7 linked regions of the Ovis aries genome follow. The protein of the gene in region 3 purifies or fractionates together with the protein of the main gene of each other region. This does not show direct contact. Links are inferred from orthologs where the notes say so. Each region holds a gene or a part of one and is shown on either strand. Other genes may lie near its edges. The genes, in order: BCL10, TNFAIP3, BIRC2, HTRA2, IKBKG, MAP3K14 and TANK.

What was found.
Region 1: the proteins of BIRC2 (region 3) and BCL10 purify together in Homo sapiens (affinity purification with western blotting; 3 studies listed by BioGRID and IntAct, with this or other methods). This does not show direct contact. The link is inferred for Ovis aries from reciprocal best matches to the Homo sapiens genes BIRC2 and BCL10.
Region 2: the proteins of BIRC2 (region 3) and TNFAIP3 purify together in Homo sapiens (affinity purification with mass spectrometry; 5 studies listed by BioGRID and IntAct, with this or other methods). This does not show direct contact. The link is inferred for Ovis aries from reciprocal best matches to the Homo sapiens genes BIRC2 and TNFAIP3.
Region 4: the proteins of BIRC2 (region 3) and HTRA2 purify together in Homo sapiens (affinity purification with mass spectrometry; 4 studies listed by BioGRID and IntAct, counting the BioPlex papers as one, with this or other methods). This does not show direct contact. The link is inferred for Ovis aries from reciprocal best matches to the Homo sapiens genes BIRC2 and HTRA2.
Region 5: the proteins of BIRC2 (region 3) and IKBKG purify together in Homo sapiens (affinity purification with western blotting; 6 studies listed by BioGRID and IntAct, with this or other methods). This does not show direct contact. The link is inferred for Ovis aries from reciprocal best matches to the Homo sapiens genes BIRC2 and IKBKG.
Region 6: the proteins of BIRC2 (region 3) and MAP3K14 purify together in Homo sapiens (affinity purification with western blotting; 3 studies listed by BioGRID and IntAct, with this or other methods). This does not show direct contact. The link is inferred for Ovis aries from reciprocal best matches to the Homo sapiens genes BIRC2 and MAP3K14.
Region 7: the proteins of BIRC2 (region 3) and TANK purify together in Homo sapiens (affinity purification with mass spectrometry; 4 studies listed by BioGRID and IntAct, with this or other methods). This does not show direct contact. The link is inferred for Ovis aries from reciprocal best matches to the Homo sapiens genes BIRC2 and TANK.

Annotation. Positions count from the first base shown.
Region 1 is NC_056054.1:62,309,755-62,314,368, reverse strand, and holds the start of BCL10 (B-cell lymphoma/leukemia 10), read left to right. Parts: upstream 1-1,656; 5' UTR 1,657-1,923; coding exon 1,924-1,980; intron 1,981-4,614. UniProt on the Homo sapiens protein: Plays a key role in both adaptive and innate immune signaling by bridging CARD domain-containing proteins to immune activation.
Region 2 is NC_056061.1:63,028,188-63,032,075, forward strand, and holds part of TNFAIP3 (tumor necrosis factor alpha-induced protein 3), read left to right. Parts: intron 1-933; 5' UTR 934-948; coding exon 949-1,243; intron 1,244-3,888. UniProt on the Homo sapiens protein: Ubiquitin-editing enzyme that contains both ubiquitin ligase and deubiquitinase activities.
Region 3 is NC_056068.1:6,029,438-6,033,325, reverse strand, and holds part of BIRC2 (baculoviral IAP repeat-containing protein 2), read left to right. Parts: intron 1-3,337; coding exon 3,338-3,592; intron 3,593-3,888. UniProt on the Homo sapiens protein: Multi-functional protein which regulates not only caspases and apoptosis, but also modulates inflammatory signaling and immunity, mitogenic kinase signaling, and cell proliferation, as well as cell invasion and metastasis.
Region 4 is NC_056056.1:96,382,795-96,387,134, forward strand, and holds the start of HTRA2 (serine protease HTRA2, mitochondrial), read left to right. Parts: upstream 1-1,171; 5' UTR 1,172-1,267; coding exon 1,268-1,773; intron 1,774-1,886; coding exon 1,887-2,091; intron 2,092-2,180; coding exon 2,181-2,375; intron 2,376-2,614; coding exon 2,615-2,647; intron 2,648-2,871; coding exon 2,872-2,977; intron 2,978-3,112; coding exon 3,113-3,182; intron 3,183-3,788; coding exon 3,789-3,884; intron 3,885-3,985; coding exon 3,986-4,151; 3' UTR 4,152-4,340. Other genes in the region: lipid droplet-regulating VLDL assembly factor AUP1, read right to left, coding at 14-198, 398-548, 628-765, 846-895.
Region 5 is NC_056080.1:79,920,029-79,924,587, reverse strand, and holds the start of IKBKG (NF-kappa-B essential modulator), read left to right. Parts: upstream 1-1,433; 5' UTR 1,434-1,526; intron 1,527-1,842; exon of another isoform or gene 1,843-2,647; intron 2,648-4,559. UniProt on the Homo sapiens protein: Regulatory subunit of the IKK core complex which phosphorylates inhibitors of NF-kappa-B thus leading to the dissociation of the inhibitor/NF-kappa-B complex and ultimately the degradation of the inhibitor.
Region 6 is NC_056064.1:44,688,606-44,693,090, forward strand, and holds the start of MAP3K14 (mitogen-activated protein kinase kinase kinase 14), read right to left. Parts: upstream 2,853-4,485; 5' UTR 2,766-2,852; intron 1-2,765.
Region 7 is NC_056055.1:148,618,462-148,622,791, forward strand, and holds the start of TANK (TRAF family member-associated NF-kappa-B activator), read right to left. Parts: upstream 2,887-4,330; 5' UTR 1,818-2,886; coding exon 1,783-1,817; intron 1-1,782.

The sequences.
Region 1 (4,614 bases), on a different chromosome or scaffold from region 3:
CATTAAGACAATTCATCGTTCGAAAAGCAAAACTTGTCAAGACAAGTATATGGTTAAGAATTTCCAGTAAGACTACACCTGATAATTTAGATTAACAGGTTTTTGTATGTCAGGTAACATTATTTACTATAAGAGAAGCCGATTAACTAATAGTACGGTTATTGATTATCTTAGGGAGGTGAATAAAACCTAGTATTTTCAGAAAAAAAAATAAAATAAAATAAAATAAAATTTTACTGCTCCAGACACCCTCATCCTATTGCCCTGTCTTACAATTTCTCTTAGTATTCATTATCTTCTAACATAATAAATAACTTACACAGTGTTTTTTGAACGTCTGTTTGCCTTGCCCCAAACACACATACGCTAGAATTTAAACTCCAGGAGGAAAGGAATTGTTATCTATTTCGTTCACAGCTGTTTCCCCAGCACCTAGAGCAGTCAGTCTTTGGCACATAAGCTGATATTCAGTAAATGTTTGAGAAATGAAAGAACAAATGGTTTAGTAAATTGGATTATATCAAGCAGATGGAAGATTAAGCAATCAGAAAAAATACTATGTATCAATATGGAAAAAGACATGTGATATAATGTTAATGTTAAAAATAGAACCTGTGTTGTGATCAAATATAGCTTGGTGTGGCTTTGGCAACGTTGTTCTTTTCTGATTCCTTTCCTTCCTCTTCCCTTAATTGTTGGGGTTCAAAATTTGGTTTTGGTCCTCTTATCATTTTTACCTACCCTCTAGCTTCAAGTACCATCTACTTTATTTCCAGTTTACCTAGCATGTTGTCCAAACAACCCTCTTGTGCGCAGGACTCTGTTGTGAGCTTTTCATCCACCCAGATTTTTACTGGGTACATACACCTCTGTCACTAGCTGGAATACCATTCTGAGAATAGTGATTTGTTCATCAGGCTCCCCAGTACAACGGTAGAATGGTTACAAAATAAGATACCTAGAACATATTAGTAAGGACTCAATACATGTTTTCGTAGTGTAAGATAATGATAAATTGGCTGCGCACTGTGTGCCCATTACCTGTAAGAACCTAACAGATACCACATCATTTAATTTTCACAGAGGCCCTGTGAGAGCTATGAAGCAGAAAAACCTTCATTATACGGATGAATAAATGAGGAAACATGTTGATAATAAAGTGACCAAAAAGAATGCAGACGTTAAATTAAGTGTTAAAGTGTTGGGACTGTAGGCGATTGTTCTCTTTCATAAATGTAATACTGTTGATAGGCTGTGTACATGCGTCTCGGGTATGTTATGTGTACGCACGCAAGTCAGTGTCTGACCAAATTGTTTTAAAACGAGGGAGCAAGCAGCAACAGAAGTCGTTGGATAGGGTCTGGGAAAAAGGGAGGAACCATAAAGTACGGATAAGCAGAGACCCGACTCCACCTGTGAACTGCCTGCGCAGGCGGCGACCGCAGGCAGGCAGAGCAGCTACGTACCCCACCCACGGAAACGATTCCTTTCGGGGAGGCCACCCCGCGGCCACTCGCTGACGCTCAGGAGGCTGTGGGTGGAGCCACTCCTGAAAGGCTCCGGCAGGGGGCGGGGACAAGGGTGTCCCGCAGGCTGGCTCTGATTGGCTGCTGTAGAGACTGGGCGGGCTCTCCCGGTGGCCCCCCGAGGGGCGGTGCCTGCTCCTGGGCCTCCGGGAGAGAGAAGGATCCGGGGCTCCGAACTCCGCTTGTGGACAAGTAAGTCTGATTCGCCCTCGGCTCTGCCGGAAGCGGCACAGGTTGACTTACTAGTCCTTCGGCCCTCGACGGGGCAGCCCTCTCCCTCCCGACCCTCTCCGCCTCCCTTCTGCCCCTTCATTCGAAGGCCGAAGCCCGCAGCCTGGGCGGGGCGGCGCAGCCGGAGCTCCTGGACCCGGAAGAAGCGCCATCTCCCGCCTCCGCCATGGAGCCCACCGCGCCGTCCCTCACCGAGGAGGACCTGACTGAAGTGAAGAAGGACGTGAGTAGCACAACCTTGCCCAGGTGCCGTCGCGGGCTAGGGGCGGGCGGGGGCGGGCTGCAGTTCTGCGGGCGAGGAAAGCGGAAACCCAGTGTCCTAGTCCGAGTCGGAACTGGAGGAGGAGCCCGGGGTCGGAGAAGCGGAACGTCCGAGAACCGCAGGACCGCGACGAGCCCTGCATGCGAGGAACCTTGGTGGAAGTGACCTGCCCCCAGCTGACCTGTTAATCCACGTTTTAAATCAATAAAAGCAGGGCTTGAGTTTTTGAAACCTTGTTCAGTGGAGCGTTTCTTCACAGTCAGCTTCTTGCCCACTCTTCACTCATCCCCTGGTGATTTCACCCCAGATGCGCTTTGGAGCAGCGTTGCTAGGGATCGAAGACTGAAGTTCACCCTTGAGTCAGACTACCTTGGCTGCTGCTCGACCTGGAGCAAAAGCTGGACCAGATAAAGCATCCCAAGCAGTGGAGCAAATACGAGAAACTTTTGCAGAAGGGGTTGGGGGAAGCTCGACAGCTGAAAGCACTACCTGGAATTCCCCTACTAAGGAAACACCCACGTATTTAAATTGAAGGGGTGGGGTGGGGGTGGGGGGAGAATAAAAGAAGTCGAGAATTAATGTACAGGTAAACGTTGGAGATACTCAGTAGCTAAATTATGGTCTTATGCTTGGATGGTGAAGTGCACAGATCTTAGTATTTATTCGTAGAGAATGAGTTTATTGAGGTCTGACCTGTTTCTCTTTTCCTTTGCTTTTTGTAACTTGTTTTGCCACATGAAACTTCTCTGACAACCATCAAAATGCTTTATATTCAAATTAAAAACAACATGAACATTAACTGTGTTCTGGCTTACCGCTGCAATACTTACACAAAATCATCTTTGTGAACTAGACAGAACAACAGCGTTTTAAATGTTTGTTTGCTTTTCCCTCACCTGTAAGGTTTATTATGCTGTACTCATAATTACAGTGAGTAATTACAGAATTACTGTGAGCAATTCTGATAATGAATTAGCAGAAGGAAACTGGTTATGACTGGGACGTGTGCCTTAGTTTCCTCCTTCAACAGATAGTTGTGGAGCACTTATTTTATGGAAAGTACTGTTCTTAGGCCTGGGAAGATACCAAAAAAAAAAAAAGTCACCCCTGCTTTATATTCTAGTTAAGACTGGGATATTGATAACTACTAAAGAACAAAAGAGTGTTGTGTTATTCAAGATTTGTGCCAGTAAAAACATGAACTTCAAGAGCTAGGCCTGCTGTGTCTCACAGTTGACAATATCCCCAACAACCTCTAAGGCAGATAATTGTCTTTCCCATTTTATAGTTGATAAGACAGGTAGTGAGAGGTTCAAGTGAAAAGATATAAAACGTACATAAAAAACCTATACATATAAAACCTGTACAGATGTGAAGGGAGGCTTCCAGGCCTTAATTTTTTCCCATCTGTTCATTGATACTTTCCATCTCCATGACTTCAATTTACAGCTGTATCAGAAAGTTATAAGCTTGGGGAATCATGAACAGGTTTCAGGACATGTATGAAAAACAGTATGTGCACACTTTTTTCTTAGAAATTGTGTTCATGATATTTTCAAAATGGTTTGTGACCTTAGAAGTTTTCACATATTTGGGCTTCCTTCCTTCTCATCTCTAAGTGCTTATTTCCAAATATCTACTGGAAATCCACATTTATATCCTTCAGACTCCTCACTTTGTCTAAAATTGAATTTTTTATAATCCCTCCCCCAAAGCCACTTGCTGTTTCTACTATAGTCTCTGTCTTGGTGACTAGTGTACAGTTCTCCTTCTGTATCCATGGGGGATTGACTGCTGATACCAAATTCATGGATACTCAAATCCCTTTTATAAAATGGTGTAATATTTGCATGTCACGTACATACATCTGCCCATATACTCTGAATCATCTCTAGATTACTTATAATACCTAGTATAATGTAAATGCTATGTAAACAGTTGACCCACATAGCAAATTCAAGTTTTGCTTTTTGAAACTTCTGGAAATTTTTTTTTTTCCCCAAATATTTTTGATCCATTCTTGGTTGAATCTAAGGGTGCAGAATCTGCAGATATAGAGGACTTATCCACATGGGAACTCCCATTTCTTTCTTTTTTTTTTTTTCCCAGGCTACCACTTCTTTACTATATCGCTTCTCCCTGTGTACCTCATCTAGTTATTTCTCTCATCTTTGAATTTAGTTGTTTCATAAATATGGACTACACACTACTGTGAGGCTCATCCTGCCATTGATTCTAACAGTTTAAAAATTAAAAACGAAGACAAAATTCTAGTTTGAGAACAGCTCAACTTCTTGGGGCAGGAGGAGACATGTAAAATGATGATTGCAAATCACAAAATAACGATGAATTTTTACATTCATCTGAAATATTATCTACTTGGCACTCTGCTAAGTGTAGGATATACAGAGTTGAACAAAATGTGCCTGGTTCTTGCGTGCTTTTAACATGTGAGTTCTTAGGGTTGAAAACAAATGTATAATTTCAAATTATGGTAAGTACTGTGAAGGAGATGAACAGGTGCTGAGACAATAACAGGATAAGAGGAGAAATTACTTGAGATAGGATGTTCAGGGAAAGTTATATTTAAACTGA
Region 2 (3,888 bases), on a different chromosome or scaffold from region 3:
TGGTAGCTGGAAGATGATGATAAAATGGGGTTGGCTGTTGAGTTTAAGTAGTACAGTTAATTCCATCATTGCATAGAATTATTCTATGCTTTTACTATCTGCCCTTGGAAGTATAGGATTTATTATTCTAGTATTGTTATTATTCTAATTCTTCTTCTGATGTTGTAAAGTTCAGTGAAGAGGTTCTGAGAGACTGCTAACTGTTTGCTCTTAAAATTGGAAAGCATCCTTGCTGGGAGTAGACTTTTTTGTTGGTTATAAAACATTCAGTTTAACTCTCTATGTAAATATGTAAATAGCATTTTATAAGTAAATGCTTTATAAATGTTCCTTTTGGGGACTATAGAGAAAACTCCAATCGACAGCCTACATAGCAGCATAAAATTGCAGGATTTCTCACAAAATATTTGTTGTCTTTCCAGTATAGGGAGGGAGTGCTTGAAAGAGGTAAATCAAGACATGGACTAAAAAGAAGGGTTGCTTGGTGGTGCTCTTAGAAGAGGAGCTGGCTTGTCAGGGCTACATTGTGCCTATAACCAGCATTCAGGGCACCTCAAATCCAGTGTTTGCCCCCAGAACAGCATCAGGATGAGACAGGAGTTTCAGTCGGTTAGAAGGCACCATACCTGTTGCTGACAGACAAGCTTGGCTCCCTGACAAACGTTACTGAAAACACGGGTTATTCCCCTCCTCCTCATTGCCCACTCCTTCTCTTGTTTAGACTAATCTTTAAAAATGATGTAACTTAAAACTGTCCAGTGTGAGTTCATCTTTGGGGCCAGCTAGTATCCTGGGAGTAGAGGTGACTAAGATCTTTTGCCTGCTGCTCAGGGTAATGACAAGATCAGACAGTGGGGTTTCCTGCAGGCAGGTATATAGGAGTCATATCAAAGTCAGACTAACAGCGTGGGGTTTTCTTTCCCTCCTCTTCAGGTATTGGAGAGCACCATGGCTGAGCAACTCCTTCCTCTGGCCTTGTATTTGAGCAATATGCGGAAAGCTGTGAAGATACGAGAGAGAACACCAGCAGATATTTTTAAACCTACCAATGGAATCATTCACCATTTTAAATCCATGCACCGATACACTCTGGAAATGTTCAGAACTTGCCAGTTTTGTCCACAGTTTCGGGAGATCATCCACAATGCTCTCATTGACAGAAACATCCAGGCTTCCCTGGAAAGCCAGAAGAAGCTCAACTGGTGTCGAGAAGTCAGGAGGCTTGTGGCCCTGAAAACAAATGGTAAGATGTGCTTTTGTCTAGGCGTTGAGGTGGCTCCTACCATGCTGCGTCCCTATTTATTAAAAGGCACCGGGCCCAAATCAAATCTCTTAAGGCTATAGGTACCGAAGTATAGAGACACTCTGAGGGGCATGTGACGAAAGCAAGCTTGCTTTGTGAGTATTTGAATTAAGGGTGATTTCTAGTGCATGTTAGAGAGCAGAGCACACTGAACCTTGGAGAATGCATTTCTGGACACTGTGTTAGGTGTATGTGTAGGGTATGTAGGTATGACTTCTGTATCTAATTCTTGTGACTATTTAATCATCTGTGAAATACCCTTCCCTCACGAGTAATGGAAATATCAAAAGGCTTTAAAAAGTTCAGAAGAAAAAGCATGGTGTGAAAATCAATAGTGTTTTCCACTGTCATTAGAAAATGCTCGTGATGATGGCCTTACACTTCTTGAATCAATGGCATTTTATGGGTTAACCACTGGCTGTTGTCAGCTCCTCCCTTACCTAGGTTCTGTTGCCTGCAGTCCCAAGATACTAACTAGACAGATAAACCTGAGTTCTTAGTGCAGGTTTTAGTCCTTTATTTCATTCTTTTTAGGGATTCCTAGTACTGTACCGCATTTCTTGCTATCTGTGACTGTCTGCCCAATGGCTGTTTACAACTCATTGCTGTTTCCTGTTCTAAACTTCACTGTTGTTTTTTTTTTTAATTATTTCCTTTGAGCAAGAGTATGCACATCACAGAAACATTCAAGCCTAGTGTTAAATGTAGAAACAAAATTCTACTTTATAAATGTAGTTAATTATTGCAAGGAGCAGTAGACTGCTTATTGTCTAGGTAAAAGCAGGAAACTCCTGTCCTTAGATCAGTGACAATCCTAAACCATCCCAATTATTTTGATTGATATACATCTAAGGGCAAAATAATACATCTTCATTGACAGTGAGACCAGATGATAAGTATGTTAAATGAACTGGTACATTCACTTTGGCTGTTTTTGACTTGGGTAACTTGGCACGATTGAGGGACATGACTTTTTCTTGGGTTTTGGGGGTTAAGTGCATCACCTAAACATCGTGCTTTTATTTTTGAAGCATAGATTCTTAGAAACATAGAAAGAAAACGGAGGCTTCCTAGTGTTTACACTGGTTTTGGCATTAAATCAAGAGATGCTTAGAAGTAGGTAATTATGTTAAGTCATCATCAAGGGGTTTATATTCCTGACAGTTTGTGGTTTTAACTCTCCCATTTTGTTACAAAAAGAGGTGGAGTCAACTTGGGAGAGTTGAAAAGAAGAGATTCTGCCAAATTAGAAATGTGGTAATAAGAAAAAAACCATTTTATATGAACTGAACTGGGATTTTAGGTTCAACTTGCTCTAGTTCCTTAAGGAAAAAAATAGAATATAAAAAGTAAATACTTGTCTTGCAAAGATATGCATTTAAGTCAAGGATTCACGCTACAAATAAAACTACAAAGCAAGTGCATTTTGATATCATTTTCTGAGAGATGGGAGTTTTTAGGCTCAGAGTCCTTTTATTTCACCACTTACAAGAAAATTCCTTAAAAATCTGGAAAAGAAAGAGAAGATATTTAGGGGAAGAGGAAAACAAACGGCTTTTCCTTTCTGATTTTTATTAGCACCATTTTTTTTTTTAAGTCTTCCCCCTATAGGAAGGCTCTTCAAAGTCAATGGTCTATTTGGGGAGGGGGTGATTCACAAGTTTGCATTTGAGGATATGAGACTGTGGTGAATGAGGAAGGGAGTAGGTGGCATAAAATTGAAACTTCATTTGAAAAATTCCAGCGTCTATTGGCTGCAGCGATTTCACTTGTATAATGAGTAGCCCTATTCCAGCTCACCCTGACCACACCCACTTGGAAAGTCCAGGGTGCACTTCGCATTTTAAATGTCTGCACACCAGAACAAAAAGTACAATAGCTGTTGCTCAATTGCTAGTCAAATAATTTAGCACTGGGGAATTCCAGATGTTACTTAGGGAATTTTATGCTGGTGCATCTCAATAAAGAACTGAAAGTAAGCACAAGAAGAAGAAAAAAAGCCTTATCTTTGCTCTAGATTTTGCAAAGGGGAAATTTCAACAGCTTGCAATTGTTGCCACACTTCTGCCAAGACACAAGGCTTGAGCGATCTTTTTGGTTCATTTGTTTGAATGTTTATTTAGCTAGTTTTTCTGACTATGTAAACTGAAAGAATATTGGCTATGGATATGTTTGAGGGTGTTGTTGTTGTTTACAGTTGACTATAATTAGGACATGATAAAATTTCAAATAGCTTCATTGCCCCATATAGCAATGTAAGGAAATAATTGAACGTTTCTTTATAAAAACAATTATGCACTTCCCAGAAGAGCCTAAGGAGTTAACTTTTTAAATATTAAACATTTCTCCGAAACATTTATTCTTTGGAGGCCAAAAAAAAATGCCATTTCATGAGTTGTGGATTTTTAACCTATAAAAGTAACAAAGTGACAGATTAAAATTAGACCTATCTTTTTCTCAAAAGGCTCAGAGTTCTTAAAGTGCCAGCCGTAAACACTGAATCAATTTTCAAATGTAGACATCTAGACACTCTTTAACTCTGAAAAGGGACTCTAATTGCTAACAGGCGGGTTCACACAAGGCAT
Region 3 (3,888 bases):
ACAGACCCAGTGCAACCAAAAACAAATAAATGAATAAATAAATAATCAAACATAAAGTACTCATTAAAAAAAAATCCAAGACCCACTCCCTTTCTTACCTGAAGTGCTGCTTGACTTGCTGGTAATGATTGATGTTCATGCATGCAGGCAGGCATGTAGTCCAGGCAAGGTTAGAAGTCGGTTAGAGGTATGCTCCCCTACTTCTGAAGCCTGAACAAGACTACCTTCATTTTTAATTTTCCAGTGTTCTTGGTTGGCATTTGTTTTTCTTTTAGCACTTGGATATATTAAGTCTTTCTCTCCTAGCCTGGAAGGTTTCTGCAGAGAAATGTGCTGATAGCCTTAGGGGGTTCCCTTGTATGTAATAATTCATTTTTTCCTTGCTGCTTTCAAAATGCTTTGTCTTTTTATTTTTAATATTTTGACTATAATGTGTCTTGGAATAATCTCTGGCCTGATCTTGCTTGGGGTTCTCTGTACTTGCTATTTCTGGATATCCGTATCTCTCCCAAGATTTGGGAACTGAAGTTTTAAGCTGTTATTTCTTGAAGTAAACTTTCTACCCCTTTTTTCTGTCTTCTGGGATTCCTGTGATGTTCATCTGCTTGGTGGTGCCCTGTAATTCATGTGGTCTTCCGTCACTCTTTTTTATTCTCTTTTTGTTCCTATAACTGGCTAATTTCAAATGATCTCCGTTTGGGTTCTCATTCTTTTTTTCTGCATGATCAAGTCTGTTGAATTTCTCTATTGATTTTTAGTTCTGTGCTTTTATTCTTCAGCTCCAGGTTTTCTGTTTGATTCTTTTTTCTTTCTTTTGATTAAACTTCTGATTTTGGTTTCTATTTCTTGTTTAAACTTCAGATTTTGTTCATGCATTGTTATTTTCATTTCATTTAGTTGTTTACCGTTCTCTTGAATTTTATTGAGTTTCTTTAAGGTGACTGTTGAGTTCATTGTGAGACATCATAAATCTTCATTTCTTTGAGGTCAGTCTGGATGTTTATTAGTTTCTTTTGATGGTGTTGTATGTGCCTGATTTATATATTTATATGCTATATGTAGCCTGGCCATAGTATCTGTACATTTGAGGGAGCAAACACCATTTCCAGTTTTTACTGATTGGTCTTGCCAGGTGAGGCCCTTCTTCTGTCAATTTTGATGGATACAGAGCTGTTTTGGGGTCTGTTGCTGGGACCATAGTCAGGAATTCAAGCACCTGGGTACAAGCCAGTCTTCTCAAAATCGCTCTCCTTGGTTTTGGAATACACAAGGCTTTCAGAATCTTATATCTCAATCACAGAGCCTCTCACAAAGGCACTTTGGTCCTTGGATGGATTCCAAATTGTTGTTGAGTAGGGATCCAGATGGGAGACATCTTAATTAGCAATCTTGCTATCATTACTCTCTTGTATCCTTCTTAAGGTATCGTCCTCACTTGGCTTCCTGGACACCACATTGTTGATTTTCCCATTACCCTGGTTGATCATGAACAATTTCCTTTGGTGGGTACTCCTTTTTCAAACCTCTTAAGTGATGGAGTGCCCCTCAACATTCAGCCCAAAGGTAGTTCTCCATTTCCTGAGCTACAGACTAGCATGTTCAACCACCTGTTTAAATCTCTGCTTGTTTATAATGGATTTCTCAAGAGTTATAGGACCAGAGCAAACATTTTCTCCCTGCCCTTCGTACCTCAGATGTGCTTCTTCTCTGGTCTTCCCTGCTCAGTTAATGGTCTCCACTTGCTGAGGTTGACTTAAGTTAGACATCATCCCTGATTCCTCCTTTTACTTTGTATATTTAAGCTATTAAAAGTCCTTTCATCTCTATCTTTATAATATGTCCCAAATCTTACCACTTCTCTTCATCGTCACCACTGTTAACCTGATTCAAGCTTCTATCACCTTTTGTCATAAAATCCTAACAGGTCTCCCTGATTCCATTTTACCTCACTAAAGTTTATCACAGAGCTGCCAGAATCATTTTTTGGAAAAAACAAATCAGGTTTTATCAGTCCTAGAATATTCTAGCAGACTTAAAATATAAACTCCTCACAAGGCTTTACATGATCTAGGCCTCACCCTACTCTCTGACCTGCTCTCTGACTCTGCACTGCCTTACTATTTCTTGAATAATATCAAGCTTTCCTCTTGACTTGAGGCTTTTATACTCGCTGTTCTCTTTGCCTGAAAGACTTCAGATATTCTCACACTCATTCCTTATCATAGAGTTGTTTGCTCTGCTGTTACCCATTCAGACAGGGTTCCACATACATTTGAGCAAGGGAGCACACACACAGTGTATATTTACGTTTATTATACAACAGTTTTCCAGCAGATGGCAGTAAAGTATCTTGAAGAATGATGTCTTTTTGTAATTTTCACAAAAGTGCCACATTGGCTGGCATAGACCCTGTTATCAGAAAATGCCTCTCTGATCACCCTGAATGTCCTCCTGCTGCTTCCTAGTTTGTCTTAACACCTTATTCTGCTTTATTTTCTTCAGAATATGTGTTGCTATCTGAAGTCATTATTTTAATTCTTTAATCACATTTTTTAAAATCACGTTTTTAGATGTATTCTGTATGAATTAGTCTTCCACTTTACTGTTCTTCCCACTTGACTGTTCTTCCCATCTTTGTTTTTTCTGCTTCATATATCCACCTCTTCAGGTCCTGTCTATCCTTCAGGTTCAGACTCTTGTGTGATCTTTTTCATTAAGTCTTTGTTTATTTCTCCCACTTTCCTAGCTGAATTGAGATTATTCTCACTTCTAAATTTGTGTAGCATCTCAGTTTCCAAAAATAAACTCTGTACAACGGAGTCATTTGAGGAATTTTTAGGATATTCTTATGTTCCATCCCTAAAGACTCTTAACTAAGTAGGTCTAAGGTGTGGGAATTGGTATTTTTTTAGAGTACAGCCTGTTACTGGGCTTCCTTGGTGGCTCAGTGGTAAAGAACCTGCCTGCCAATGCAGGAGTCATGGGTTCGATCCCTGGGTTGGGAATATCCCCTGGAGAAGGAAATGGCAGCCCTCTCCAGTATTTTTGCCTGGGAATTCCTATGGGCAGAGGAGCTTGGTGGGCTATCGTCCATGGGGTCACAGAAGAGTCAGACACAACTTAGCAACTGAACAACAATAAGAGCAGCCTGTAACTGCACTCTCATTTGATCCTTATCAGGTTCAGACTTTGGTTGGAGTTATAGGTAACGTGCATACAGCTCATCTCCATTACCAGGATATAATCACCCCTAAAGTAAAGATTATATCAGAGTCATTATTGTTCCCTATATTTTTATATTTATGGAATTTACCCAAATATATATCTTTTAAAATAGTTGTTCAGTTTGGACCTGGAGAAAGTTCTTCAGACGATGCAGTCATGATGAATACACCTGTGGTTAAAGCTGCCTTGGAAATGGGCTTTAGTAGAAGCCTGGTAAAACGGACAGTTCAGAGTAAAATCCTAACAACTGGAGAGAATTACAAAACAGTTAATGATATTGTGTCAGCACTTCTCAATGCTGAAGATGAGAAAAGAGAAGAAGAGGAGGAGGAAGAGAAGGAAAGACAAACTGAAGAAACAGCATCAGGTATTTGGGAATGTTAGTCCCCTGGATTATTTCCACTGAGGTCTCATAGGATTGTCTCACGTGTTGCAGCACAGTGAGTATCCCTGTCTCTCCACTAACTGGTGGCAGCCAGCAGTCATTTCCAAACCTCACATCCCCTTCACTGTGAGCAATGTATTACCTTAGTTGAGAATCACTGACTACAGTTTTTTTTGTTTTTGAACATTTTTTTTCCTCCCCAAGAAGATCCCTGATTTATGCTAATCAGAGGATTTTGTCATAATTTCTTTCTTGAGCTATATTGCCTTTCTTCCTCT
Region 4 (4,340 bases), on a different chromosome or scaffold from region 3:
TGTGCTCACCTACCTGAAGCGCAGGAGCCCCTCCCGGCCATTGGTGGCCTCTTCCTCGGGAAATAGTAGCAGAGGGGTAGGGGGAAGCCTTGTTGAAGCACAGAATCTCTTGAGTGACTCCACCAACTCGCCTTGACCATCCATCTCCATAAAGCCCCGAGACCAGCACACAAAGCTTGGGGGACTATTGAGTAGAGGCTGGGCACCGGAAGGAGAGAAAGCAAGAAGAAAAGAATGCTGTGAAGTGAGAAAAATTGACATATGGGTAGAAAAGCAAGGTCGGGGTAAGGGTCAGTATCTTGTGGTCCCCATGGGAAACCCGAACACGGAGAGGGGTGCCTTGAGCTGGGCCCCAGGGAGCCACTCCGTGGCACTCTCGGCTTCCTCCCTAACTCACGGTGCTACAGCTGGTGAGCAGGTTGACTATGTTGTGGTCGAAAGGTGTCACGTGGTTGGAAATGAGGACCCTGACACGGTGATCCCGCAGTCCAGAGTCCTCCTGCCGGGCCACGAGCCCCAGCACTGCACACATGGTCCGTACCACGAACCTGCGAACGCAGGCAGTGGTGACTACCTGGCCTTGGGCCAGGCCCAGCCCCAGCCCTCCCCGAGCGCCCGGGTCGGAACCTGCGAAAGACACTGTCTGGTAGCGCGCAGCTGACCAGGAAGACGTGGATCCCAAGAAACAGGCGCAGGACGAGGAGGCAGAACCCGACTGGAGCGTAGAGTAGTAGCGCGAGGAGCAGGAAGCCGTCACCCGGGAGCCTGGGGGCGAGAGGCGGGGTGATTGGGCGCCGAAGGCCAAGTGGACGCGGAAGTCGGTCTCTTCCCGCCGGGGTTCTTACCGGTGCGAATCAAAGAGCCGCTCCGGCCCCGGCGACGACGGAGGCTCCATTGCCGCTGCTTTAGGATTGTCTGGCCGCTGCCGCCATCTTTGCGCCCCGCCGCAGGGGCTCTTGGGAAGGCGGAGTCTTCGGGCATCCGCCCAGGGTGCCGGGACCTGAAATTCTGAGGCGCCCCGGAAGGGCTAGCGGTCCCATCATGCCTCGCGGACCCGTGGGCCACCTCATAACTCGCGTCCCGCGGGGACCACAATTCCCGGCATTCGCGGGGCGGGGGCGGAGTTGGCCTCCCGGAATCCTGGGTCCCAGCGTGCACTTCTGGAGACTTCAGGTACCGGCGTCCTCAGCGTCCAGCTGCCCTCCTGGTCGCGTCTAGGGCGCCGCCTCTGCGCTGGGCGGGCGAGGAAGCCGCCGAGGCGGAGCTGATGGCTGCACTGAGGGCGGGGCGGGGTGCTGGCTGGAGCCTCCCGGGATGGCGGGCTTTGGGTGGGGGTCTCTGGGGAAAGGGACCCCTGTTGACCCCTGACCTCCGGGCCCTGCTGACGTCAGGAACTCCTGACCCTCGGACCCGAGTGACTTATGGGACCCCCAGTTTCAGGGCCCGGTTGTCTGTGGGGGTCCCTGAACCACGGACATGCCTGAGGTCCTGGACTTCGGATCTCCGAGCACGGCTGATCGCTGGGACCCCAGATCCCCGGACTCCGGAAGGCTCCGGAACTCCCGGAACCCGTCCGCGCGTGTGGCTAGCGGTGGCGCTGGGCGCTGGAGGGGCGGTGCTGTTGTTGTTTTGGGGCGGAGGGCGGGGTCCCCCGGCTGTGTTCGCCTCGGTCCTTGGCTCGCCGCCCACCTCTCCCCGGAGCCAGTACAACTTCATCGCGGACGTGGTGGAGAAGACGGCCCCTGCCGTGGTTTATATCGAGATCTTGGGCCGGTAATGGTGGGGGTAAACACTAAGGCACCGAAGCCGCGGGCTAGAGGGCGGGCGAGAAGGATGGGTCTGAGCCTCCTCACATCTGTACTGTCCCCCCGCCCCCCTTTTTCCAGGCACCCTTTTTCGGGCCGCGAAGTCCCTATCTCGAATGGCTCAGGATTCGTGGTGGCTGCCGATGGACTCATCGTTACCAATGCCCATGTGGTGGCTGATCGGCGCCGAGTCCGTGTAAGGCTGCCTAGCGGCGACACGTATGAGGCCGTGGTCACAGCTGTGGATCCCGTGGCAGACATCGCCACGCTGAGGATTCAGACCAAGGTGGGGGTCGGGGCAGGCCATGTCTGCTTGGGACTGTGAATTTGTTCACATCTCCAGATGCCAGGTCTCTTGTACCCATTCTCCCTTAGGAGCCTCTCCCTACGCTGCGCCTGGGACGCTCAGCTGATGTCCGGCAAGGGGAGTTTGTTGTTGCTATGGGAAGCCCGTTTGCACTGCAGAACACAATCACCTCCGGCATTGTCAGCTCTGTTCAGCGTCCAGCCAAAGATCTGGGCCTTCCCCAAACCAATGTGGAGTATATCCAGACTGATGCAGCTATTGATGTGCGTCCTGATATAAGAAAAATGAGACTAGGTTGGGAGAGAGGGGAGGGGTGTGTGGTACAGGCACCAGTTGTGATAGATGGTGGATGAGCCTATATACTGGGATTGGGTTGCAAAAAATGTGGCCACTCCTTCACGGGCTGGGAAAGGAGAGGATTTGGAGAAAGTGTCTACATCCTGATTGTGCCCCGAGGCATAGAGTCCCTGGATCTCTGCCATATTTTCTCCTTGTCCTGCAGTTTGGAAACTCTGGAGGTCCCCTGGTTAACCTGGTGAGTGTGACATCCTTTCCAAGAATCCCTATCTCAGGTCAGTATGGGAAGAGGTGGGTTTCCCCTAATTCACTGGTGTTTGGTCAAGTTTCTGAGCAGTTTCTTGTTGGCTGTCTCCCAGAATCCAACTAGATCTCCCCCAAAACTCCCTCCCACTCTTGCTCAGGTACCCCCATCTCCTATTATTTGTCTGGGCTAGAGAATAGTGGGCTGTGTCCCAACAGGATGGGGAGGTGATTGGGGTGAATACCATGAAGGTCACATCTGGAATCTCCTTTGCCATCCCTTCTGATCGCCTTCGAGAGTTTCTGCATCGTGGAGAAAAGAAGAGTAAGCCTGGCTTTTGGGGAAACGGGTTTCTTTAGTGGCAGGGGTGGGGAGGGTTTGCTGGAAGAGGGGTCAATTGGGAGGAGGAGGGGAAGTAAGGATATACCTGGGTGGGGCTCATTTGTCCTTCTAACACAGATTCCTGGTTTGGAGTCAGTGGGTCCCAGCGCCGCTACATTGGGGTGATGATGCTGACCTTGACTCCCAGGTATGAGCTTTAGGGGTAGTGACACGTAGGGCCATCAGTGTAACCAGTGGTGGGTACCTGGCAGTTCTGTTGAGCTTCGTTCTTAGTTCTGTTTTTATCTAAGATGAGTTGCCTCATTCCTCTCTCATTATCTTGATTTTTCTCACCTCACTCTATTTTGCATACCTTCCATCCTGTTATTGCTTAGATTTACAATAAATACCCAACCTTCCAGATGTGGCTTCCCTATGAGTATTTTCTGTTCCAGCCAACTTGATTTCCTAATCCCGTGTTTTTATGTTGTTCTTGTTTTATATAGTTTAATATCAGATTGATTCTTCTAGGTTAAGCTAAAGTTATAGCACTTCCTAAGTTATAGCTGCTTTTAGGATTCTAGAATGACATTAGTGCTATTGATTTAACCCTGTGTGTCATTTGGAATGTTACCTTTTATATACACATTCTGCTTCCTAACTGCTAGAAGGCAAAAAGTGAATTGTTTTTGTATCAAGAGGATCTAGTGCACGTCCTGTTCACACGCTTGTCGGTGTGCTGATGAAAGATGTGAGGCAAACCCCGAATGGGGAGAGTGCCCTGTGACCAACAGAGTGATCTGTGTCCTTTCAGCATCCTTGCTGAACTACAGCTTCGAGAACCAAGCTTCCCTGATGTTCAGCATGGTGTGCTCATCCATAAGGTCATCCTGGACTCCCCTGCTCACCGGTGAGGGAGAGGCTGCGTTAGGAGGTGGAGATGGGTGGGGTGTATGCGCCCTTGAAGTGGGCCATCTAGTTCTTCCTTTATCTCTCTATCCTTTGCCATAGGGCTGGTCTACGACCTGGTGATGTGATCTTGGCCATTGGGGAGCAGCTGGTACAAAATGCTGAAGATATTTATGAAGCTGTTCGAACCCAATCCCAACTGGCAGTGCGGATCCGGCGAGGACAGGAAACACTGACCTTATATGTGACCCCTGAAGTCACAGAATGAATGGATCAGCAAGAGTAGGAGGCTCCTGCTCGGATTTCAACCGTGGTTTCGTGGCTTGGGCTCTGAGGGCGCCTGGACAGAGGATTAACTGAACCAGTTGGGGGCAGGTCCCTCCGACTACCACCACCACTTCCTGGGCTCTGAAGAATCACAAAAACACTTTTTATATAAAATAAAATTATACCTAAC
Region 5 (4,559 bases), on a different chromosome or scaffold from region 3:
CAAGATGACCAGTTGTCACAAAAATACAAATTAGACCACAATGAGATCCAGCTTGACCTTCACCAGTAGGTTGTAATCTGAAAAAACTAACCCCATCTGGTGTTGGAGGTGGTGTGGAGGAAACACTTGCACCAGGGTTCACAGCAGCCATAATTCCCAACAGCCCTGAGCTGGGACACAGTGAAAGGCCATCAACAGGGGATGGACAAGCTGGATATCTACACAGTGGGACACCTACTCAGCAACACCAAGGGATGAGCCAGGGGGATTCCCTGGTGGTCCAGTAGTTAGGACTCCACCACAGGGGTTTGCGGGTTTGATCCCTGGTAGGGGAACTAAGATCCTGCAAGCCACGCAGGGGGCAAGAACAAAGATTACAAACCAAGAAAAAAGGGATGAGCCAGTGGCCTACTCAACACAAGCAATTCTCAGAACCAGAATGCTGGACACACAAGGCTCAACACCCTGAGTTCATTTAAGGGAAGCTTTAGAAAAGGCAAAGCAGCCACAGTGACAGAAGTGAGAGTCCACAGCAGGAGGTGGACTGGCTGGGGAGTTGGAAACGTTGCCTCTGGTTATAAAGGTCAGAACCGATTGGACAGAGAAGATGTCTTTCGATGTGTACGAATGTTGCCTACAAATAAAAAGACTGAAAAGAACAACTGAGCAGACGGCGGGCGGTGCTTGCTGTTGACCATGTGAAACTTTCCAAGATAATGGCAAGTGTGTGAAGACAGCAACTGTGAGCAACAACATTGTCATCCCACGAAGTCACCCAGTCCCTTCTCTCCAGGCCGGTTTAGCTGCCATAGCCACGGCTACCTGCTTGCTTTTGGTGACCTGACAAAGGAATTCTCCACTCTGGGTGGAAGAGGTGGTGAGCCTGGGCATGGCCTGGGTGAAGAGCAGGTGCCCTTTTATGCCCCCTGCCCTGTCATCAGTGAGGGCTGCTGGGCAGAGCTGCTAGACTCGCCCCGGGCAGGAAAATCACCTCCAGGGGTGAGGACCTGAGTCTTCAGGGCAAAATGACCCTTTAAGAGTCATGTCAGCACTGGACGCAGTCACATCTGTGGACTGTTGCAGAGAGGAGCCGCAGGACCAGAACCGATTGCAATCTGCACCCCTAGACGGGCCATGAGGACGGTAGTTGGGGAGCTACCAGGTGGGTGAGTCCTCCCCTGGCTGGGGGCGATGGGGGCCACTTTTGAGGCTAGCATGCTCAATCCCCATTTGTGGCTTCACCCTCTGTCTCCTGGGCTGAGCCAACATCTGCACGTGGACAAGTCTGCTCCGGCCCAGGTCTTGGCTAGTGCCCAGCCCACACGGGCCAGTGTCTCTCCGCCACCTCCGGGCTCTAGCGGAACCTGGAGTGCTCCAGTGGGTGGTTCCCAAACCAGGGTGCCCTGTGTTGCAGCCCCCGCCCCCTGTCTGCCAGCCACTTAGAACTGATTGCTGAAGGCTCTGGAGCAGGGCCCCCTCCTGCCGGCCACCTTCCCTGGGAAGCCTGGAGATAACAGCGCCTCAAGGTCAGTCACTGATCCCTGGCTGGGGTCTCCCTGGAGCCCAGCTGCAACCCCTGTGGCCCCTCTCCTCCCAGTGCCCAGCAGTGCCCGCTTTCCGCTGACCCCTCCTGTTGCGGGGCTCCAGCAGGAGAAGCCATCAGTCCCCTGTCGGCGGGCACCTCCTGGCCCAGAGGAATGTTTGCTTCCGGTCAAATTCCAGTGGGTTAGTGTCCTGTCTGCTGAGTCACGGTGCCCTACACCCGACTGCCCTCACCGGTCCATTTGGGATTAGCAAGGGGTGGAACCTGCTCGCCTTGTTCAGCTCAGCCCTGCCACCAGCGGCCTGAGTCACTCACCCAAGGGAGGAGTGAGGTAGGACCCAGACGGGGGTGGGGGCACAGAGGCCTAGGAGGCCCCCCTACCCAGCAGCCTGGGCCTGGTTGCACTGCTGGAGGTAACATGGGCTGAGAGCACAGTGCTCGTGGGGTCTGGAGGAGTCTGGGGCCACGTGGTGACTTAGCAGCAGGAGCAGGGCCTGCTGCAGATTTCCAGCCACCTGCATCTGGCCTGCCAGCACCCTGATCTTATCTCAAGTCTCCAGTTTGATGAGCCCTTGGTCTCGAAGGGTGTTAGGGTGGAGCACGTGACAGTAGAAGTTGGGAGGCCGGGCAGGGGTGGGCTCTATCCCCCTCGAGGCAAGATCTGCCTGGCCTCCCTCCTGGGCCGCGGGGCTCATGACTCATCAGCCCTTTGGGGGAGCGCCAGAGTCACCGTGACACAGCAGGAATCTTATCGCCCCAGGAGGTGAGGCGGCCCAGAAGCACCCCCTGAGGAGAGAGGGCCCGGGTCCTCCAGCTCAGCCCTGGCAGGACCCCGTCTCTGGGCTGGGCCCTGGAGCACTCATCGAGCCCATGGCCCAGATGGGGAAACTGAGGCCCAAAGGCAAAGACCGCCCTGCAGAACCTGCACTGAGCCACTTCTGCCCGAGGGGGCTCCTCGGCCTGATCTTTCTCTCATCTCAATCGCTCTGTTTCCATTGGGGGTTAGAGTGGCTCCAGCCTGGCAGGCCCAGGGTTCCTCTCTCAACACTGGTCTGGAAGGAGAAACGGGGTTCCTGGGTTCCAGAGGCCTCCAGACCAGGTCCTGTAAGTACGTCCACTGCCCTCCTACTGAGGGTGGGAGTCTGGAGGAGGGAGTAGGGAGCGGCTGCAGCTACAAGGCCATCAGGTAACTCCTCAGGCTGGCCTTCGGACGGGGCGGAACCTGGGCGCGTGGGTGCGGGGTTGGGCAAAGCCGGCAGGGAGGAGAGGGGCGGAAGACAGCTCATCCTTTTTGGAGTCGCAGGCTCCGCTCCGAGGCCCTGGCTCTGCGGACCTTGGCGCCTCCCAAGGCCTGGGGTGTGAAGGCCTGGCAGTGTTTGCTGTCACATGCACTCACCTTCAGGCCCAGCCCCCAGGCACGGCTCCCACAGTGGGGGGGTGGGGGGGCCTCAGGGCAGGTGCCTGCTGTGCTGTGAACTCCTTGGTCTCCCAGAGTAACAGGTTTGTGCCGCCTGCCTGCCTCCCACATATCCCAGCAGGAAGGGGAGAAACAAAACAACAGAAAAAACAGGCTCTACTTCAGAGGCCCTGGTACTCCCCCACCCCCCGCCCTGCTGGCTGCAGCTGGCACTTCCTCTTTCTGCCCTAGAAGCCTCTGCTGATTGCTCTTGGAACAGAGAAGAGCAAAGGGGAACTACTCGGGTTGCAAAGAAACAATGTTGCCCAATGCCAAGGCCACCACACGTGAAGGCAGGGAGGAGTCACCAAATCAGCTCAGCAGAACCCTGGGGCCCCTTGGTGCTCCAAAGACTTCCATTGCCAAGTGGAGACTGTGGGGTTGAGAGAGGAGGAGACACTTGGCCCAGGCCACAGAACACACTTGGATGCTCTCACTGAGGTGGTTTAATCGGAGTTGAGGATCTAGGGTCATAGGCAATTTACTAAGGCTGGGGACCCTCTGCTGGAATGTCTTGGGACAGGCTGGGATGGGGATGGGGGAAGGAGGAAAAATAATCCTGAGTAACTTTCTCTGTCAACCTATTTCTTGGACCAACTCCGAGGTGTTAAGCTTTCTGGTGCCTCGAGGGATGAGGCTGGGGCCAGGGTGGGGGCTAAGCTGCCCCCTGTGTGCCCCTCCTGGGCATCCTACAGTCTTGGGGTGATAAGACGGTCAGGGGAGAGTTTCGGGCAGCCTTCCCTTCCTTCCCAGCAGCACAGCCCTCCTCGCGCGCAAAGCCCCCTGCCCTGCATTCTGGCTCTTTTTCCAAGTTTTGACCAGAATCACACAACTGGCAAGAAACACGTTCTGCAAAGGGCGGTAGCTTGTTATGATACATGAATGAAGAGCTGAATTCCTCTAGAGCTGAGGGGAGAGGGGTGTGGAAGGGACAGAGAGACCATGCCTGCCCTGTCAAGAGCTCACTCGCTTGGCAGAACTCTCGCTTCAGGTTTATACAGTAAGTCACCACCAGAGATGCTCGTAATCCTGGGGAGCGGATTCTTGGTCCCGTCCAGGATGAAGAGTTTCCCTTTGAGATGAAACGTAGACAGCGTTCCAGCCGTTTCTCATGTCTTGCCACTGGGTTGATCTTATTTCCACGTGGCACATGGAGAAAGTGCTTTTAGTTGGGGGGGCCGGTCATGGCTCTCCAAGGACCCACCCACCCTCTCGTGTTCCACCCCCTCCCAACATGTATGGTCAGCACGCTCTGTTTCTGCCTTTGCTTCTAGTCTCTGGCCTTTCTCATCACAGCAAAGTGGCAGTTCCACTGGCTGGACAATGGGGCTGGTCTCAGCTCCTCGGGAGGCCTTGGAAGTCGGGGCAAAGAGATGGGGTTTCAAGAAGGGTCAAGTGTGTGTCTTTGGGGACCGTGAGGGTAGACAGACAAGGTCGAGATCGGGCCCTGGATCCTACCTCTGGCACTGACTGTGTGACATCTGTCAAGTCAGAAACATGTTTGGAAAACACCCTTCTGGAATGGACTGCTTCCCCTGTTTACCTCTCTGTCTCCCCTGT
Region 6 (4,485 bases), on a different chromosome or scaffold from region 3:
TACTACTCCATCTGCCCTATGTTTGGCCTTCCATTTCTAATCGACTGCTTTCAACATTTCAGTCAGCACCACCCAGCAAATGCAGAGCGTTCACACGTGCATCAATTTAAAAGCTCACCTACCCCTTGAAGGTGCTCAACTCCTACTACTTGCCCTGCCCAGGGATCTCAGTGTGTGGAGGCTAGGGGGAGCAGGCTTATCCTTAAAGCTTCCCAAATCCACTGACAGGGAACTGTTCCCCCCTCCACCACCACTTTCACACTGGTGTCTTCCAAAGTGCCCATAAGGCTCAGATGTTTCCAGTTTAACTGAAATACTAAAATGGGGCAAACAGGAAGCATCAGATACAACTGCGGTAGTGACTTATTAATCATGAAAGCAGAATTTTAGTTGCATTTTAACCTTTTGCCAGGAAAAAAAAAAAAAAAAACAGTTCTCAGATGATGGAAGCCATTGATAGAAAGAGGCTCTCTATGTGTGTATCAAGCTAACTTACACTTTTAATTCAGGGCCGAACTTGGTTTAAGATTTCTTAACTACCCTCCCAGAAAGACCATCTGTTAGGTCAACCAACATGAATCTCTCAGCTCTTCATCAAGGGAGGCAGGCCGGTTAGGAAAGCTCATGTGCTGTCCCTTGAGACAGGAAAAAAAATAGGAAGCTAAAGTGACGTCGCAGGCCAAAGTGATCGGACACCCTTAAGAGGGTGCCAACAACGAGGAGAACAGCCCTGGGTCAGTCTTTACCCATCTCCCATCTCTGCAGATCTCACACCAGACCCTGGCCAGGAAGAACCGTTACCACGCACCAAACAAAAACCACAACAGTTGCCTGGAGTTGGACAACCAATCAGGGCAAGCCCGCTTCTCAACATTCAGTGATACACAAACACTCCAAGCAGATCACAATGGAGTCAGTGTTCAATAGGAGAAACAAAATGAGGAACCAAACCTCCGTCTGTGGAGGCGAAATGGCCAACCAGACATTTTTGTTTAATAGATGAGGGTTCATTTGGCAGGGTCTCTGTCTGTGGTACCGCTTGCTCCCACAAACTCTAACAGACAGCACCAGGGGCGAAAAACCCCCTTTCAGAACTACTCCTTATAACCTGAAAACAGTCAGAAGGGGACTGAAGCTTGGTGGCTTACTGCTGTCTGGTCTCACAAAAGAGCTGGAACACATACCTGGGTATAGATTTCTAAAATTAAAGTCAGAGATGAGTACTTTTATTTTGAGGCCTTCTGAGAAGTTCACTGCCACACCCTTCAAAATAAAAGAGGATGTCCTCCAGGCATCTGAAAATCTCAGAGGTCTGGCATCACTGCACCAAAGGAACGGACTTTGACATCACTTAAAAAACACCAAGAGTAAATCCAAACACTTTGTAAGTGAGACAAGCACCTGTTCTCTCATGTTAAGAGCATAAATACCACACCAAATATTTCTCCCCATGTCCTGCATCCAAGTTCCATAACGTGGTTCTGCTTTAGGGAAAGGAGCTGGGGAAAGATTCCAGTGGCCCAGATTAAAGTCGTCACCCTGAGTCTCAGCTGTGAGGCATTGGGCAAGAGCCATTTACCCGCCTCCAGTCCCTGCCAAACACACACCTGCTTCAGGTGCCTCACCTCTAAAACAGGACAATATTATTTATCTTATCACACACAAATCTGAAGGAAAAGGGTTACAGGTATGAAGACACTAAGTAAAAAAAAAAAACATCACTAATGTTAAGATACTATCTCTTTCTAATCTTTCAGAAAGACTATGTTTCTAGTCAAGGGGTTTTCAACATTTATTCCTGGAATAAACTTCAGAAGGCTATTTTGTATCAGATCCCACCTCTCACCATATAACTTCACTTGCTTTTTGAGTTCATCATCAAGGGACAGGGTTCATTGTCCTCCAGTTAAAACAATTTATATCACAGATTTCTGTCTCTTTTCTCTACTCATTCCCTAGTCCACCCTTTAGGACTGAGAGCCACATCCTAACTTCAGTTAGGAAACAAACTGCTTTTCCTGAAGTTACCCGGCACAGAGGAGGTTCCTGGGCAAATGGGGCTCTTTACACGGGGCCTCCTTCTGCCTGGTGCCTCTGGCTGCAGGCTGCCAGGACCATGATGGACTTCCAAGATGGGATATTTTATCTGAGCCGACAGAGGAAGTCCTGAGTGGAGTGGAAAGAATTATCGAGGAGTCAGGGAGAGAAAGGATGCTGCGACCAGCCAGCACTGCCCCGCTGGGTGCTAATCGGAGGCTCCATCTCTTCTCCCAGGCTCGGGGTGTGACCCCGAGAACTTCCCAGGAAAGACCTGAGGGTTTCACTGCCTGGACAGGTGGGAGGACGCAGGGACCCGGCGCGCTGGGGCGTTCGGCACCTTAAGCCCAGTGCCGAGGTAAGCCCTCCTTCTGGAGAACATCCAGGGAACCGAGCAGGACGGGCAGGCCTGGGCGGTGGAGCAGCCTGGCGCGGGGAAACGGGGGTGTCCGGGAAAGGGAAGGAAGGGGCCCTTGCGCGCGCTTCGGGGGAGCGTGTGGCCTGCGGGTGTGCAGGGTGAGGCCGGCGTGCGACCGTGGCCCTGGCGGCGTGAGGGAGGGCGCACCGGCGGCCAGCTGCCACAGCCGAGGACCGGCGCGAGTGGGTCCCCGGGCCGCGCCGCCGACCCCACCATTCCGATGCGGCGGGCCAGGCCGCAGCCCGGCCCCGGGTTGAGGAGTGACCCGTCCTCTCTGCCCCTCGCCCCGGGACTCGCTCTAGTCACCTACCGGCCGAGCGCCGATCTCCCCCACCAGCGAGTGTCGCGCTCGCCTCGCCCTCGATCTCCCGCCGCCTGTCGCGGACCGCTGCTCTCTGGGCCCACGGTCGCCCCGCCCCACCCCGGACCCCGCCCCTTCACCGCCTTCCCGGCCGCCCCCGGGGCCACGCCTCCACCCGCGGCAGCAAATTTGCCTCGCTTCGCGCCTCCTTGCTTTGGCAGCGCCTAGCTTCTGGCCCCGCCCACTCCCCAATCTTCCAATGAGACGGCGCGTCTCAGCCAGTTCCTTCCTACCGCCCCAAGCAACGATTGGTTAACGAGGCCCTGTTTCCAGAAATGGGCACTATTTCCGGACAGTGTTTATAGCAAAGAGATGGCTGGGCCGACGGATTGACAGAAGGCGGAGGCGGTCGGGGTGTTGGTGGAACCACACATGCGCGCTCGGCTTCTGGCAGTCTTACTGGTTGCGTTCCTCTGGAGGTTACGGGAAGGAAGGGCCAGTGTGCGCATGCATGGGCACTCCCCAGCCTAAGACCTGGTTACCTAGGAGACCGCGAAGCGCCGTCTCCCCAGGTTTTGGTTGTGTTTCTTCTTTGCTCCAAGCCTTGGCGGCTGAGGCAGGTGTGTTGGCAGTTGGGGGGAGAGGGGCAGGGCGGGGCGGGGCTGTGTATTTAGAAACATTTTATTAAGCACTTACTGTGAACCTGGCGCTGTAGCGTCTCTGAGGCTTAAATAGTGCCTGCCTTCGAGAAGCTTGCGGAGTTAAAGGCTTATACAGGTTACACCTGTGTGTTGAAACCCTTGTCTGGTGAGAGCGTGCGGCTGGCGTGGTGCAATCCCGTCCCACAGTCAGAGAAGTAACCTGGTGTGAGCGCTGCGTGAAGCATCTCCTCGCTGGGTTTATGGAGCCAGAAAGAAGACTAGAGCTTTACCTATGTATAAAAAGGACTTGGAGTACGAATATGCACCAAGGTGTCACCAGTGCTTCTCTGAATGGGGATGGGGCAGCGAAGGGGTTGGGGAGTTGGTTTAGGGAGGTGTGACTATTTTTTCTTTTCTAACTTTTGCTTTTCCAAATTTTCTAGTGTTTCCACAGTGAGCTTGTTTTTTATTTATAATAAAGAAAAAAATTCCACACTTAAAAAGTAGTTTGCAAAATAAAAGATACGCCGGTACCTGGGCACTCCACCCCCATCAGTGGTCTAGGGCAGGCAAGTGAGGTAAGCGGCTCTAGTGGTAGAGGTAAGCAGGCCCCATTCAAGGCCGTCTGGAGAAATAAGGATTACCCCATCTCTGGAAGCCTTGGAGCAAAGACCTGCTCAGGTTTTGTTTTTTAGTCTGTACCACGCAGCATGGGGTCTCTTAGTTACTTGACCAGGGGTCAAACCCATGCCCCCTGCATTGGAAATGCGGAGTCTTAAGCATGGGGGTGTCAGAGAAGTCGCAGGACCACTTTTTGGACAGTCGTTCATAGCTTGATGTATGTTTCTGGAGATCTGCCTCTAGCAGACATCTTGGTTGAGGGGAATAGGAAAGACCATTCATTCAGGCAGAAAACTTAACCTCAGGGCCTCATCCACTCACTCAGGCCATAGATTAGTTTTGTTTGGCTGGTGCAATGTTTTCTTAAAATTGAATTTGCATGCCTTAGAGCAGAGCCTGGAGTTCCTCACAGCACACCCCCACCTCCCTCCCCCAGTCTTGCTCTCAACCACTTAACCTATGTCATC
Region 7 (4,330 bases), on a different chromosome or scaffold from region 3:
CTAATGGCCTATATGGGAAAACAAACAAACAAACAAAGTGGATATATGTACATATACTTTGCTGTACATCTGAAATTAACACATTATAAATCAACTATACTCCAATAAAAATTAAAAACAACAACAACAACAAAGGTAGAAATCTACTAAAACAATTTGCTATTCTAAAAGGTCAAGGAAGAAAACCACAAGATTGATCACATTAGATGCCAAAATGCCATATATGACAAAACTCAACTTCCACTCCTGATAAAAATGTTTAGTACTAAAGTAGCAATGAAAATACATCAACAAGAAATATATACACCAAATGAAAACTCAACATCTACTGTTCAAAACTGCTCTCAAAGTGCTAGCCAATGCGAAAGAAAAAACAAAAAAACCCCAACTTCAGACACAATCCAAAATCTATTCCCTGCAAAAATCCCAGTAGCTAGAAATATTAGACACTTCTTTGATAAATAAAATTATTTGAAATTTATTATAAAATTCATATTCAATGATGACACAATAAAAATAACTGCAAATGAATAAATATGATAAGGATGGCCAGAATCACTGTTATTATATATCACTGTTTTGGAGAAACTATAAATTTATAAACAAAAGAAAGATTTAAATATAAAGAAGGAGTTAAGATTATATTCAGATGACTATTTTCCTAGAAAATTCAAGAGACAATTTATTAAAACCAGTAATTTTAGAAAGTTGGCCAGATATATAAATCATCTACATGTCAGTCACAAAATATTAGTGGGTAGTTAAACCCCTCAAGGGCTTCTCTGGTGACTCAGTGGTAAAGAATCTGCCTTCAAAGCAGGAGAATCAGGTTCATTCCCTGGGTTAGAAAGATCTCTTTCCAAGATAAGGAAATGGCAACCCATTTCAGCTTTCTTGCCTGGGAAATCCCATGGACAGAGGAGCCTGGTGGGTTACAGTCCATGAGGTCACAAATAGTTGGACATGACTGAGCAACTATACAGCAACAACAACAAAACTCCCCAAAGAAACCTGTTTTAATGAAATATACATAGTTTACTTTAAATTTTACCTGAGAGAGAACACAATCACCAAGGATATTTGAAGAGGGACTTGCTTTATGAATGACTACAAAATGCCTAATCAAAGAGAGATTGGTAATTGTATAGGAAGAAGCAAATAGAACAAAGGAACACAAGAATCCAAAAAAGACTCATGTAGGCCTGGAAATTTACTCTATTAAGGTAGTTTTTCTAGCCAGTTGGGAATGAATTGATTTCAGCAAATGATTTCAGCAAAAATGGCTAAATCCCTATCTTATACAATATTCAAAAATAATTTTCATACATTTAAATGAGTAAAGCATAACTGTAAGAATATTTAATGAACAATATAGGAAAATATTTTAATAATTTTTTGGTGAGGACCATCTTCTTAAGTGAAAACCTGGGCATTTTAACCCAAAGACTGATAGGTCTTGAAAATATTCGCCATATAAATCACAAAGGGTTAATATATCTGTATCCTAATGAAATACAGATTAAATAATTGTGAAGAACAAGGGCAAAATACATAGATAGGCCATATTAAGAGATGTTTAACTACATTTGGAACACCCAGGCAAAGAAATCCCATGCTGACATTAAGGTAAAGCAGAGCTATATATGGTAAGATTTCCACTATATATATTCTATCTGAAAAACCAAATTATAGGACTGTATGCACATACAATCTTATTTTCATAAGAAAGCGAAATAACACGTTTATGTACACATAAGAGAGATGTGCAAGGCGCTGGAGTACCTGTGGCTGGGGAGAGGGCCGTGAAGGAGTTTCATTTTCTGCTTAAAACATGACTGTTAGCACTTTAGGGTTCTCGGTTCTCTTCCCCTCCCCAATGAGAGGGACAAAACATTTTTTCAGCAGACTACAGAGCTCGCTTCTCTACTCCCCCTCTCTGAAGTGTGTATTCCCGTCGTGGTAGGGAAACAGATCACGCTATTTTCCTCTACTTTCGGGTCACTTCATGACACTTTATATAGCAAAGGCTGCTCTACTTCTCCCTGCTACGGCATAGTAAGAGACACAGAGACTCTTTGGTTTGAGTATCTTTCCCCTCCTTGCTTCACTTCGTGACGAGCACAGCTTGTTACACGTGTAACTCGTCACCAGCCAGTTTACACCACGCTAGGGATTCCGCCTAACGCCCGGTTCCCACTGGGGGCAGGGTTTGCTTCTGCTCTTTCTGCCTCAGCCATCCAGTTTCTCCTTGACCCTCGGGGAGGTTACCCAACTTCTCAGTGACAAGGCTATGATGACACCCCGCAGGAAAGCTGAGAGAGAAACTGTGCAATAACCTTGGGGGAAAAACAACAGAAAGAACCTAGGAAGTTTTTGAAAGAGTAACAAAGATAGTATTAACTTCTGGAAGGCAGCCTCCGGTCCTCAAGAGGGGTTGGGACCTCCAGGTGGGGTCTACTGCTCACTCTGACATCACAGGCCTGCCTCCCCGGTTGGCAGGCCAAGAGATCAAGTCACAGAGAGCGGCCGACGCGGAGTCGGGCAGGATCCCTCCCCGGCAGCCGTCGCAGCAGGGGCCGTCGTTGCTGCGCAGACGCCATGGGCCCGGAAAGCCCCTCCCGGTCCGCTCCGGGACAGGGACCCAGGTGATTTCCTTCGCACAAAGTCCCTCCCCACCATGAGAACTGGTTGTCACTGCAGCTCCTCGGCTTCTCTCCCTGTGGCGCCCATACGGCCAGCGCATCCCTCTTGCTCACACACACAAGTTCTCCGTCGCCGTGCCCGATGCATTCGGACACTGCAACTCGCTAGCGAAGTTTCTTACTCACAGCTCAGGGTTTCCGCACCGGTCTCTCCAGTCTCAAGTCGCCCGGCGCCCAGCCGAGTGACTCCAACCGGAAGTTGTTTTCCGTTCCAGTTCAGAGGGCAGCGCCTGCGCGTGGATCCCTTAACCCTTCACCCTCCACCCCTCCAAGCCAGACCGTGCCCCTGCCGCCACTTCCCTCTAACCTCACCCAAGCCCCGCCCAGCCCTGCCCCGCCCGGCGCAGCCCTGCCCGGACTCAAGGGGGACAACTACAGACCCGGAAAGGCACTCGAAATCAAGTTTAAAGGCCAGCGGAGGGTCTCTTGTTAAAGATATAGATTCACCCTTAGAGATTCCCAGAGTTAAGAGCTCAGCTAAGTCTCTTCAGTCTTGTCCAACTCTTTGAGACTTAGTGGATGGTAGCCCATCAAGCTTCTCAGTCCATGGGATTCTCCAGGCAAGAATACTGGGGTGGGTTGCCATGCCCTTCTCCAAGAGTTAAGAGCAACTGGGGTGAATTCCAAGAGTCCTCATTTTCAGCAGATGTTCATGTGAATGTGATTAGGGTTATTAAGCTCCACATGCTGAGAAGAACCCCCCCCACACACACACACACACAAATATACACACAACACACACCCATTTGGGTTTTCCCCAACTAGCAACACCTATCATTAAAAGTACTTGCTAAAGTTGAGTGATTGCTACATGGAAGTAGATCTCTATTAAAAAAATTTCCCCTAACTTAGGATTCTCCATTATTCCATTTCCTACCCATGCTTGAATATTTTCCAAGATGAAAAGTTTAGACAGATACCTCAAGAAAAGTTTTAGCTCGGATATCTACTATCTCAGGCAAGTTGCTTAATCTAATGAATCTTGATTTTCTAAAATCTGACAGCAAAGGACAATGATAACCTACTTCACTGGATGGATGCTTGCAGGATCAACTGATAATGTAAGCCAAAAAAAAAAAACAAAAACCAAATATGGTAAAATTCAAAATGCTCTGCAAATGAGAGGGGCTGTCTGGAGTCAGTCATGTCATCCTGGCTCCTTCCCACCATCAAGCACATTCCTATTCCTTTTAGGAGAAGAGCAGTCAAATCCACAGCATATACATATATGGACTCTCCCTGAGAACACTGAAGGTTGGGACTCTCCACATTGACTGAAGTATAACTGTATTTGGCTGAATGCATGTTAACACTTCCAAAAGCTTCCATGGTGATGACCTACTATTTATTTAATTAAAACAATATTTTAAAGAACTGTCACTATTTTTGCATGTATCTGACAAGAGTTGTGGTGTTGAAAAAGACTTTTATCACCAAGCACAAGCATATTAAGGGTGTTGAAAATAGCAATTTCAAAACTAAGATTGAAATGACCTTGAATACCGTATATTGTTGTCCTGCAGAGCCTGCTCTAGAACATAGCTTTATATCCACAGACTTGATGAAATTTCCAAATTTGAGAACATGCCTGTCCTAGTGATCTTGGACAAGTGCTTGGACAGATCTTC